Linked DNA regions of Diceros bicornis minor. The protein of the gene in region 1 interacts with the protein of each later gene in a biochemical or structural test. Links are inferred from orthologs where the notes say so. Each region holds a gene or a part of one and is shown on either strand. Other genes may lie near its edges.

Region 1 (6,113 bases):
CTGCTGACTGATCAGGTAAGAGAAAGAGTGAGCACAGACCTTGGGATTTGGGGGATGGGCCCCTCCCCCACTGTAACCTTAGCCCAGGACTTAGTCTGACAAAAGAGAGGTGTAACCACTTCCCCAAGGCCATGGCTGACCTAGTTCTTTTTTGTGTGTGTGTGAGGAACATCAGCCCTGAGCTAACATCCTTGTTAATCTTCCTCTTTTTGCTGAGGAAGACCAGCTCTGAGCTAATATCTATTGCCAATCCTCCTCCTTTCTTTTTTTTTTTCCCCAAAGCCCCAGTAGATAGTTGTATGTCATAGTTGCACATCCTTCTAGTTGCTGTATGTGAGACGTGGCCTCAGCATGGCTGGAGAAGCAGTGCGTCGGTGTGCGCCTGGGATCCGAACCCAGGCCACCAGCAGCAGACGGCGTGCACTTAACCGCCAAGCCACAGGGCCGGCCCTGACTTAGTTCTTACAGCTGCTCTTAATGGCTCTGATCACATTCAATCTCCTGCAACTTCGTGTTTGTGAGATTTGTCCATTTTGACACACACACAGCTCTAGATCAAGAGTCAGCAAACTTAAGGCCCTCACGCCAAATCTGTTTGTTTTAGCAAATAAAGTTTTATTGGGACATAGCCATGCCCATCCACATTGTCTAAGGCTGCTTCCGCACTACAACAGAACTGAGTACTTGCCAGAGACTATATGGCCTACAAAGTAGAAAATATTTAGTATCTGGCCTTTCAAAGGGAAAGTTTGCTGACCCCTCCTCTCTCTCTTTCACTATAACAGTGTGTTGTTCTGTTACAGGAATACACAAGATATTTAATAGGACATTTAGGTGGGTCCCAGTTTTTTGCTATTTTGAAAATGCTCCAGTGAACATACTTAACTGTGTTTCCTTGGGCTCATGTGCACACCTGAAAGCGGAACTCCTGGTTTGTAGGACATGGGCATCTTCAGTTTGGGTAGATTTTGCAAAATTGCTTTCCAATGTGGCTGAAATGATTTACACTCCCATTCGCAGTGGAAAGAGTTCCCCTTTTCCCATATTACTCTAAAACTTGGTATCACGTGTTGTCAGATGTTATTAGTTAGCGATCTTTTATTGTTTGTAGATTCCTTTGGGTTTTCCAGCTGTGAAGGGTAGTTTTGCTCCTTTTTTTTCCCTTGTCTTGGTGCTCTGGCTGGAACCTCCAAACAATGTTGCATTTTGTTCAATGATAAAATTCAAAATTTTGTTCCTGGCTTTAAAGGGAATCATGCTTAACATTTTACCATATAGTATGGCGTTTAATCACTAAGTATAACGTTTGCTGCAGGTTTGGGTTTATTTTCGGAGAACTCACCTAGAAAACCATCTGGACTAGTTGGTTTTTTGAGGCACATGGCTACTCAGTTTGTCTTTTTCTTTTTGAATTAGTCTTGGCAAATTGTCTTTTTCTAGAAAATTGTCCATTTCATCTCAGTATTAAGTTAACTGGCATAAAGTTTATAACATTCTTATTTTTGTCATTTCTATATCTGTAGTTATGTCCCTTTTGCACATTAATGTTTATTTTATTGGTCTTTTCAAAGATCCAACTTTGTTTGTGGTCCATACTAGTGTTTTTGTTTTCTATGACATCAATTTCTGCCATTCATTATTCTCTTCCTTTCACTTTCTGTGGGTTTACAGTTATTCCTTTTTAAAATTCTTTTGAAACTCAAATTTTCCATGTTTCTTCTTACCTAGTATAACTAATAAGGCTATAAATCTTCTAAATGCTGCTTTAGTTGCCCCCTCCCTGAATTTTTATGTGTATTCTCATTTTTGGTTTGATCTAAGTAGTTTTCATTTCCATATGATTTCATCTTTGAGTAAAAAGTTTTTTAGAAGTATGTTTAAATGTCCAAACATTTGGAATTTACTTGGCTCTTGTCTGTGGTCAGAGAATATGGTCTGTATGAAACTCACTATTCGATACCTGTTGAGACTGGACTTGGGGTCTAGTAGGTCATTTTGTAAATGTTTCTTGTGTACTTGAAAGTAAGGGTATTGGGTTCAGGGCTCTATCAGGGCCCAGTGATCAGGATTATTCATAGGATTAAAATTGTCTATATCCTTTTTTGGCTGTTTGGTCTATCAGTTACTGAAAGAGGTCTTAAATATCCACTATGATGAATGATTTGGCCATTGCTCCTTGTATCCTTGTCACTTTTACTTTATACATTTTCAGCCTTTTTTTTAACCTCTAACATAGAAGTTACAGCTTCCTTTATCCCTAATAGTGTCTTTTACCTTAAAGCCTATTTTGTCTGATTTTGCTATAGATATATCTTTTGGTTAGTTTTTCTTTAGAATACCTTTTTCCATCTTTTTACTTTTGGTGCCTTTTGGTTTTATTTATTTTTTCTTGTGAGGAGATCAGCCCTGTGCTAACATCTGCCAGTCCTCTTTTTTTTTTTGCTGAGGAAGACTGGCCCTGGGCTAACATCTGCACCCATCTTCCTCCACTTTATATGGGACGCCGCCACAGCATGGCCTGCCAAGCAGTGCCTGGGATCCAAACCGACGAACTCCAGGCCGCCGCAGCAGAGCGCGCACACTTAACTGCTTGCGCCACGGGACCAGCCCCTGCCCTTTGGCTTTAAATGTCCTCTTGTAAGCAGCAGGGAGCTGCATTTTATTTTTCTTGGTCAATCTGATCATCTGTTTTAATAGGTGAACGTGAAGGGCATTTTGTCCCTCTGGTTTTGTACCATTTATATACTTGTTACTTTGCCTCCTTTTTCTCCTTTCCTGCCTTCTATTCTAATACCCTTTACTAACCTTTTCTTTTTTACACTGGCAGTTCTACTTTCTATTTCTAATATTTTAGTGATCTCTCTTAAGCATTTGAAATACATACTTGACTTTAGAAAGCCGGACAATTATCAATATCTTTATCCTCCTCTCAAATAAATCAAGCTGCTTAGCACACTGGAAGGCTGATTACCCTCTCCAGTCTTACATGTTACTGGTTCCCTGCTCCTGGTTTTGTACTCCACAAATCTTCATCACTAGCCATGTTTCAATGAAGTGCTTGTTTAGATCTCCTTACCCACTGATCAGTTTAGTTGCTCACCATTTTTGCATCTAATTTCTTCTCTTTGGAGTTCTGTAACTTCACTACAAAGTGCCTAGATGCTGATTTTATTTTTATTTATCCTGCTCTGGATTTTATGTGAAGATCCTGGTCTTTAATCAATTTGGAAGCTCTTCTTCAGGAACAGCCTCTCCCACAGTCTGTCTTTTCTCTCCTTCTGGAACTCTGACTGGACCTGTGAGTTCTTTTCACTTTACCATTCTTGTCACTCCCTCTTTTATACGTTTCATCACCTTGTTACTCTGGTTAATTGCTTCTGATCTATCCTCCAGCTCAGTGATTTTCTCTTCTGCTGGGTCTAATCTGCTTTCTTACCTCATCCTTTGAGACTTTAATTTCAATAGCTCTAGTTTTCAATTCTGGAAATTTCTTTTTAAAACCTGTGTTCCTTTTTAGTGCCTTGCTCTTTCATGTTTTAACCCCTCCCACCCGCACCTTTTTCCTTTTCTAACCATAAGCTCCACGAAGGCGAGGAGGTCTTTTGGTTTACCGCTGTCATCCCCAGCGCCTCCTACCGTCCCTAGAACAGACTCCGAGTGTGCGTTGTCAGGTGAATTTACTGACAGCGGCAACAGAAGGACGCTGAGCCGCAACCCGGCCCGCACTCACCCCACCGCCAGAGCTGCGAGTGAGTTCCCACAACAGCTCGCCGGCTTTGCAGCCTCCGCTCAGCCCCGACCTGGGGACGGAGAATACGCGCAGGCCATGACGTCACGAGATTGTGACGCCCGCAAGGCCCCGCCCCTTCGCGGCGCGGGGTCGGGAATCCAGGCTCTCTGCGCCGTGACATCACGGTCCGGGCGGGCGGGTTTTGCGTCGGCCCAATGGGAGCGGCGCGCCGGCCTCCCCTTTAAGGAATGTTGTGACCTGACGTCACCCGGGCGAGTTACCTCCCCGAGCCGCCACCGCCGGGCTCAGCGCGAGCCCGGAGCCCTTGAGTGCGAGGCGCGGAGCTCGCGGAGCCCCCGAACCGCAGCCACATCCCCGCGCCGCGCACCCCGGAGCCTCGGCCTGCGCGCCCCGCCGGGCCCGCGCGATGCCCTCGGACCGGCCTTTCAAGCAACGGCGGAGCTTCGGTGAGGCCCGGCGGGCGATCTGCGAGCGAGGGGTGGGGGCGCTGGGGGAGGGGGGGGTGCGACCGACCCGACTGCCGTAGGTGACGTCAGCCCCGTGACGTCAGGCTCCGGCCGCCCCCTGGGCTGGGACGCAGGCTCGGGCCTGGGCCGGGGCCTCCGCCTCCCAACCCCGTCCTGTGCTGGGGCTGGGGGGCCGACGGCCCGGGGGGCGGGGGCTGTGGGGAGGCGGGGGCTGTGGAGAGGCGGGGCGGGGCCTCACCGCCCAACCGCTGTCTGCAGCCGACCGCTGTAAGGAGGTGCAGCAGATCCGCGACCAGCACCCCAGCAAGATCCCGGTGAGTCCCGCCGCCCCCTCCCATCCCCAGGCCCCGCGCCCCGCCTCAGGCTCACGCGTCCCGCCCCACCCTGCTCCCAGGTGATCATCGAGCGCTACAAGGGTGAGAAGCAGCTGCCTGTCCTGGACAAGACCAAGTTCCTGGTCCCGGACCATGTCAACATGAGCGAGTTGGTCAAGATCATCCGGTGCGCGGGCAGCAGCTGTCAGAGGGGGACTTGGGTCCTGCTGGGGTCAGGCGGGGGGCTGGGTCCTTCTGAGAAGGTTGGGAAAGGTCAAGGTCAAGGCTGGGGTCACTGTCAGTGTCAGAGATAAGAACCTTTAGAAGGGGCTGGGATGGGTGTGAAGCAGAGACTCGGAATCATTTTGGGGAGGGGGGGTCAGGGCTACACCCGCCCAGCAGCCAGGGTGCTCACAGTCGGCATGCCCTCCTGCCCACCTCAGGCGCCGCCTGCAGCTGAACCCCACGCAGGCCTTCTTCCTGCTGGTGAACCAGCACAGCATGGTGAGCGTGTCCACACCCATCGCCGACATCTATGAGCAGGAGAAGGATGATGACGGCTTCCTCTACATGGTCTACGCCTCCCAGGAAACCTTCGGCTTCTGAACTCGCAGTAGGGGGGGTTGGCCTGGGAGTAGGGGGCCCTGTCAGGCTCTGCCCAGGTAGCTCCTGGCTCCTGAAGTGAGCTGCCTCTGCCCCTGGTGGGCTGGGCAGGGATGCGCCTCCTAGCCAGGAGCACCAACCATGCCTACTCTGCCCCTGGGTGGATCCTGGGCCAGTCATGTTAGGGTTGCCCCTCTGGGTGCTGGCTGGGATGGGGGAGGGTGGGGAGCAACCCCCGGCACCCCTACTGTGTGATTTGTTTTTTTTTTAGGCCCCTGCCTGTCTGCCCATCTGTCCCTCCCCTGCCTGAGGCGCTGCCCCCTGCCTGGACCCGCCCACCCTTGAAGGACTGGCCCCTGGCTCACCCAGTCTTGACATGGTGTATGGATCTGTGGTCATTGTCCCTCTGCAGAATAAAGATTGCTCAGGCCTGCCTGGCCCTTTGCCTCCAGCTGCTTGGGGAAGGGGGAGGGCTGCTGATGGGGCTGTTCCACACCATTCTCAGCTCGCCAGTGCAGAGACCTGTGTTCTGCGGACTTAGGGCTCATCCTGGAAACCCACACCAGTGTGTAGTGTACCATAGCTGTATTAGGAGCCAAGCCCAGCCCTTCCACGGTACAGTGTGGTCCCAGAGTAGACTTTTTCATAACAAAAAACATTTATTAAGTAGCCACAACTTAACAAACCCTGCTCACCTTCTTCTTCCCTTTTCCTGCCTGTGAGGGGCTCCTTGGTGTGCAGAGTCACAAAGTGGGGGTCCAAGTGGAGGTGCTCCTGGCTACTCTCCACAGGCCTTGATGCCACCCTTGGCTCCCCTCTGGTGCCGGAGATTCGTGACCCTGGACTCGAACCTCATCTGCCCGAGGACTCGCCTGATGGCAACTCTGGCTAGAGGGCTTGGCCCAGCTTCTGGCCTTTTCACCCCCTGAAATCCGTGCAGGCCTGGCCCAGCCAGGCCTACTTGAGCACAAGCATGGC
Region 2 (7,020 bases), on another chromosome or scaffold:
GCAAATGGAAGCACAGAGAGGTTAAGGACCGGCTCCAAAATCTGATTCTGGAATACATTTCTTTTCCACAGTATCTACCTGCTCTTCCTACTCCTATATGATTGATTGAATTAATTCTTGAATTTATAAAAGGCAATAGACCATGGTCCGGAAATAACTCAGCCTCAGCCCATTCAGGAAAGAATCAGTGGCCAGTGGCTTGCACAAAATCTAGCTGAAACCAGGCTCTCTGCCCGAAATATTAAAATAAATACCTTCTAGGAGAAGGCTGTCATAGAAACCTTGATTGTAGATAAGAACTTGCAGACTCAGAAGCTCCTTCGAGTTTCTTTTTATGGGCTTAAAGTTAATTAGCTTAAAGCCAATTCCTCGAATGACCAATTTGCCAAATTTATCAAATGTTGGCATCTTTTTAACTATTTACAGGGTTTACAATGACACATATTGGATGAGGCTTTTAAGAACAGTTTTCTACAATTGTTGTGAAGTTATAGCAACTGATTTTCGTTTTTCTTCATAGCCACATATTGAAGAAGGTCAATTTGTCTTTGTCCCCAGCTTGCTGCTACTGCAGGGAGAGACTGAGTTGTAGACAGGGGAGAAATAGAGGTGAAGAGACTGAGGATGAGAGAAGGAAGGATAAGGGGTAGAAAGAAGAGGAAACTAGGGGAGGTGGGGGGAGACAGAGGGTCAGAGATGATGGACTAGGAGGAAGAGATGGGGTCACCAAAGGACAGAAGAGGGAGAGGGCAAAATGGATGTGCACAAGGACAGAGATGGGGAAATACTAAGGGGCAGATGGACACTAAGAGCCAGAGAGACGGAGACATTTAGTGAGAGAAAAAGGGAGACACTGAGAGGGAGACATAGGGAGAAACTGAGGAATGAGAAAGAAGATAGAAAAGTAGAAGTGGAGAGTCAGAGACAAAAAGATAATAGACCGAGTGGCATAATATTAATACACTTAAGAAAAATCTACATTCAAGAACATATTTTTCATTAATGTAGTCATAAGTTAAATATATTCAAAGGAAGAATAAACCATCCTTAGCTTTTGATAAATAGAAAATTCTTTCAAATGCTTCTCTGAAGACGACGTGAAAACCAGTCAACTACTGCATCACATAAATCTTTAGAAGCTCATGAAGCCATTCCATCCAATAGAAATTGTTGTAAACCTTAGAAGTTGGTGACATTTGCAAAGTGTTCATTCAGAAAATCTACAAGTCTGCAGGTTGGCCATTTGATGAAGTGATCATTTGGCTACTTGGCTTGCAGAAAATTGTTGATCTCTCTTTTGAAGAAGAGCCCTCCAGGAGGTAGATTTAATAGTCTTAACACAGGGTGAAAAAGATGCTGGGGCTCTCCTGGCTGCAACACACTCTAAGTGCTGTAAAGAAACAACGCTGTTAAGATCTCATTTGCCAACGTGTCATTCCACGATTTCTTGGGCTTTCAAAGCGTAGGTGGCATGGCATATGGTTCCCATTGTAGGGAGTCTGTGCTCTCAACTGAGCTGCAAGGCAAGTGATAAAAGTGGGTTGACCTGAATCATTGTGGTCTTGAATAAGTGTCAAGGGCCTCATTGTCCTGCTGCATCTGAGAACATTCTCTGCCTTTTTATGGCTCCTGGTCTTGCATCTTTCTTGATGCTTCATCATCTTGGTGCCCCAAGGGTCTGTATCCCCCATCCTGGGCAGCAGGGGCAGGTCTTCTGCTCCAAGCCTCCCTAATTCCTGCTAACAAGGAGGCCACATTTGTGACCTGAGTCACCATCTATTTTGGCTGCCCAGACCTCATCTCTTAATTTAACAGATACTTTTTGAACACTTCTTGGGCCAATTCTTGAGCCAGGCACTAGGAGACCATGGAGAACAAGATGACATGGTTTCAACCCTATGGAGCTACTTCAGGGTTGGAAGTGATGGAAACCAGCTTTGTGAATGGCTGCTGGGGTGTTTTGTGAAATCCAATAACGTTTTAGATGACCTCACCTCAGGAAGAGCTTGAGCCAAGTCAGCCACAGGAACCTCAACGGTCAGAATTTGAGGAAGTTCCCTATAGAATATTGCCATTGACCAATATGAATTATTCCTGTTCCTATTTTCTATGAGCATCAGTTCTCAAGTCCAAAGCTCAGGGTAAAGAATCATCCTGTGTCCATTTCTGCTGCAGTCAACTCTGAAGAGAGGTGGGAGGCCAGGTGGCACATGTAGGAGAACCAGCAGTTCCCAGAGAAGGGGGAATCCTTGTGAGCTCGGCAGAGTGAGCTCGGCAGAAACTCCACAAGGTATTAAATTAAGGATCTCGAAGTCCAGCAGGGGAAACAAGGTTAAAAAGAACTAACTTCAACCTAGCCTCATATAACCTTAATAGAGTGAAGCCTGGAGGTAGGTGGGTGTCAGGCATGCCTTCACATAGGAGGTGACCCCTCTACTGGGTTTTTTAAAAATCAAACTTATTACATTAAATATATACAGTAAAATGCACTCATTTTAAATATAGAGTTTGATGAGTTTTGACAAATGTGTACAAATGTCATACCCATCTCAATCACGATATAGAACGTTTCCATCACGCCAGAAAGTTCCTCATGTCCCTTTGCAGACAATGCTCCCTTTATGCCTCAGGCAACCACTGATCTGACTTCTATCACTATGTTAGTTTTGCTGATTCTAGAACTTTACATAAGTGGAATCATATAATATGTACTCTTTTTTCTATCAACATTTCAACTGGATTTTGAAGATGGGGAAAGGGTTACACAAGCAGAGGAAGGGTGAGGGTAGCAGAGATGGAGCCGGCATACCACCCCTCCTGAGAACAGGCTGGCCTCAAAGTAAAACATCCTATGATTTACTACTGTCCAATCAAGCCACGCTTTCTTCTCACTTTCCCACCGGAGTTCTTTCTTGCCTTCACTCTTCCCTACGGAAGAAAAACTCTTTTTGCCTAACCCTGGAGACACTTGCAGATCTTTTGGTCAGAGTCTCCCTATTGCAAGATTCCCTCCCCCACCCATTGCAATAGTCCCCGCCCTCTCCTTCCCCACTGCTTATAACAATCCTTTCGAATAAAGTATCTCCTCAGTAAGTCAAACAGGCTTCTGTTAGACTCCTGGCCCAAAAGCTCTTTAACCTTCAGCAAGCGCCTTAACCTTTCCTAGTCTCCGCTCTTTCATATGTAAAATGGGAATAATATAACATCTACCTTGCAGGCCCTTTGTGGCGATTACAGATGTGAAAACCTGAAAACATTGTAGATAATAAATAGTAGTCATTACTCTTGTTATTGTAAGTCTATAGAGCTACGTCAGAGGCGCTTTGTGAATGGCCTTATATGTCAGATTAAGTTTACACTCACTATTGTATCAACACTTCTCCAATGCCTGGTACAGAGTATATGCTCAATAAATAATTTAGAATGAATAACTTTATCTCATTGACAGCAGGAAGCTATGAGAATAATGTCTGGTTTACAAAGAGCAAGTCGGTCAGTGTCGACTTTCATCGACCTTTACCTATTAAAATTCTCATCTCCTGTGTCTCCATACCTGCCTTCCTCGTGGTCCCCGTGATTCGTTTGATACTGCCTCTCCTGGAAAATGGAAATAATGATAATTCCTGTCATCCTCTAAAATCAAAAGAAAGAACGTGGAGCACTTTTTGAAAAGTCTCACGGGCACATATACACAATCCCACATCTGATAAACGGGAGAAAGTCTCTGTGCCTCGGCTCGCTCCAGGGGGTCCTCGCCCACCTCCTGATGTCCCGCCTTCCCCACGCCTCAAGTTCCGCCCCCTCAGCCTGGTGCTAGGGGCTCCTTTACCAGGCTGGCCCGAGGCTCTGTGTGCGCACGCGCACCGTCCTCTCGCCCCGGCAGGCGGGGGCGGGGCCGCGTTGCGTCATCGGGGCGCGCGCTGCGGATGACTGTGTGGTTGCCGGAAGTTGAGCGGCGGTAAGTGAGCCGCAGCGGTGAGGGAGGCGCGGGCTGCTTCGGTGTGGCTTTTGGAGGCCTGGCGGGAAAAGGCGAGCTCGGCGATGAGGGCGAGGGTCGCGGCGGGTCTCAGGATCCTCCTCTGCCCGTGCCTGGGCTGTCTGTCTCCAGGGAGTCGCTGACTGCGGCTCTCGCCCTCGTCCAGTCACGTTCCCTCAGACTGGTTCAGCCGGGGTGCTCGGACAGGACGCTGCTGTCCTGTCTCTGGCGGGGAGTGCCCCGAATCTCCGTTGTTGGAGCCCTGGAGACAGACGCCTGGGTTCTGGTCCTGGCTTTGCCTGCCACGGTCTGCTGTGTGGCTGTGGCGCATCCCTCCCCTTGCTGAGCCTCTCTTCCCTCATCTGTGATGTGGGAGTGATAACACGTCATTGGTGAGGCGAGGAGGTTCAGTTAAGGCAGCTCGAAGGGCTTTTCTGATCCAAGGTGCTCGATTTCTTGGTTTGGTCCGGATGCTACAGACTTGAATGCTTGATCAGTCAGGTTAGGTAAATGTGGGTGTAAGAAAATTTTATGTCAGTCAAACTTATTTTTACTGAATTGAGTTTTATGAGCGCAATACTAACATATTGAAGAAATGAACCCAGAACTTCAGTGTGTGTGTGTGCGTGCGGGCACGTGCAATCCCTTGATTTTTAAACACTAATGACTAATGATTTTTTAAAAAGCATTGGCAAGTGATAGAAAACATTTTTTTAAATTGCGCCTGTAACCAGGCGTATCTGTGGCTGCCAGTTTGGGGCCTCTGGATCCCAGGCTCCCTTTCCCACTGAATACTTGGATTTCTTTTGTGGCACCCCCGCTCGCTGGTTAAATTTCTTCAGTGACAGAAAGCTCACTACTTTTGGCCTTACTCCTGTTTGGTCTGCCCCCAGCTCTGACTCATAACAAGTCGTATGCAGAGCTGAAAGCGGTTCCCTAGTGATCTCAGCTGGTTGTCCCTCTTTCAGGCTCTTGGGCTCTCCCTTCACGGAATTGCCCCGCACATCTTTGAAAGCTGCTAGTTTGTCTTCCTCTTCCCACCTTTTCTTTTCCAGGCTAAGCATATTTAATTTATTTAGCCACAGTAAACTCCACATAACTGAGAATTTTGACTTGTTTTATTTGTAGTTGTATCCCTGGCGTATAGAACAGTGCCTGACATATTATATATGCTCAGTAAATATTTGCTGAATGAGTGAATAAAGCAAATATTTGAGTGCCTGTTATGTGCCGGGCATTATTGTAAGCACCAGTGATGTAGTGGTAAAATAAGGCAAAAAAACAGCCCTGTTTCATGGACCCTACTTTTGATGGTAGTGGTGGCGACTGTTGTGATTGTCAATAAATACGATACTTTTAATGGTTGGCAGGTGTTTCAGATCCTGATGGATGCTACGAAAAAAAGAAATGGTAACAGCGTGGAGAGTAACTGAGGGGAAGCAGAGGGAGCTCTTTTTAAAGCTAGCTGATCAGGGATGACTTCTCTGAGGAGGTGACGTTTGATCTAACACCGGAATGAAGAAAAAGCCATACTTGTGAAGGCTCATCTTGCCTAATTGTTCCCCCATCCCCCACCTCTGTGCTCTAGTCTTGTTAAACTGCCTACAGGCTGTGTCTCACCTACAGTCCTTTGTTTCTGCTGCCTAGAACATCTCCCTTCCCCCTCTTTTCTTGGCCAGCTCCTCCCTGCCCCTCATGTGACATGGTTTAGAAACCCTTTAAAGAGCTGAGAACTGGGCTTGCATTCAACCACAAGGTCCCTTTTTTCTTCCCAGCCAGCTTCTCGTAATAGAGAATAAGCATAAATATTTATTGAGCTTTTGCTCTGTGCCTGGCACTGCTCTGCAAGTGGAAACATGAAAGTGAGTAAGATACACATCCATGTCCTCAAGGAGTTTACTTTTTTTTAAGTCAAGGAGGTAGACAACAGCACTATGGTATGAAGCTGTTGTTGAAGTTTGCTGGAGAAGGACTTAGCATGCTCAGGCTAAGTCAGGCTGAGGCATCAGAGAAGGCTTCTGTGAGGAGATGTTGCTTTATCCAAGTCCTAAAGGATGAGCAGGATTAATCAGGTGAAGAGGGATGGGAGGTGGGATGATTTTGCAGACATTGGGAGGGGTGCAAGCAAATGGCTGTGGGTGAGAATGCGTGACCTGCAGGTAGTTGCCCCGAGTTAGAGTGGAGTGTAGGATAAGGGTGGCTGGAAAGGTAAGCAGGAGCCAGATCACGAAGGGCCTTGTGGGCAGTTGCATGTTAAGAACACAGACTTTGGAATCTAAGATACCTGTGTATCAACACTGGTTTTGCTGCTGAACTAGTTTTGTGACCTTGGGCAAGTCGCTTCCTTTCTAAGCTTCTATTTACTCATCTGTAAAAGGGAAATATAGCCTACCTCCCAAGGTTGCTGTGAGAATTGAATGAGATGATATCTCTTACCCACTTGGCACTGGTAGATGGTAAACTCTAAACTGTAGCAGTTAGTATTGCCATGCTAAGAAATTTGGAGTTTATTTTGAAAGCACAGGGCTGGAGAGTGGGGCACTGAAGAATTTTGAACAGGGGTGTGACATCCTCTCATCTGTTTTAAATTACCCAGGCAGCAATGTGGTGATTACACTGAATAGGGCAGGACCAGCAGGGAGACCAGTCAGGGCGCTGTTGCAGTGGTCCAGGTCACATGGGAGAGAGGCCTGAACCAAGGCAGTGGCTGTGGGGATGGGGAGGGGTGGGTGGAGTTGAGAGATAAAGGAAGAAGGATTTACTGGACTGGTAACTGATTGGATGGCAAGGAGAGGAGGGAGCCAGGAATCAGGATATTGAGGCGGGGGGAGGGGATGAATCCTCTGTGGAAATAAGTAATAACCAAGTTCTTCGCTTAGTGGTCCCTGGTTGGTTATGCCTGACCACCTGTGAGATTTTATTTGGAAGTCCAATTTACCCAAGTTCACTAATGGCTTCCTCCTCTCCTCTTTCTGTCTCCTGATCCCCCCACCTTTCTCCAGTGTAGGTAAAGCCCAATTGTGTGCTCAAGGGAGCATAACTAG

What was found.
Region 2: the proteins of MAP1LC3A (region 1) and ATG7 form a complex in vitro, tested with the Homo sapiens proteins (2 studies listed by BioGRID, with this or other methods). The link is inferred for Diceros bicornis minor from reciprocal best matches to the Homo sapiens genes MAP1LC3A and ATG7.

What each region holds. Positions count from the first base shown.
Region 1 is NC_080758.1:25,021,724-25,027,836, reverse strand, and holds MAP1LC3A (microtubule-associated proteins 1A/1B light chain 3A), read left to right. Parts: upstream 1-3,975; 5' UTR 3,976-4,157; coding exon 4,158-4,197; intron 4,198-4,476; coding exon 4,477-4,532; intron 4,533-4,612; coding exon 4,613-4,719; intron 4,720-4,975; coding exon 4,976-5,138; 3' UTR 5,139-5,145; exon of another isoform or gene 5,146-5,406; 3' UTR 5,407-5,574; downstream 5,575-6,113. Other genes in the region: PIGU (phosphatidylinositol glycan anchor biosynthesis class U protein), read right to left, coding at 6,093-6,113. UniProt on the Homo sapiens protein: Ubiquitin-like modifier involved in formation of autophagosomal vacuoles (autophagosomes). While LC3s are involved in elongation of the phagophore membrane, the GABARAP/GATE-16 subfamily is essential for a later stage in autophagosome maturation.
Region 2 is NC_080741.1:83,968,452-83,975,471, forward strand, and holds the start of ATG7 (ubiquitin-like modifier-activating enzyme ATG7), read left to right. Parts: upstream 1-3,936; 5' UTR 3,937-3,958; intron 3,959-4,002; exon of another isoform or gene 4,003-6,048; intron 6,049-7,020. UniProt on the Homo sapiens protein: E1-like activating enzyme involved in the 2 ubiquitin-like systems required for cytoplasm to vacuole transport (Cvt) and autophagy.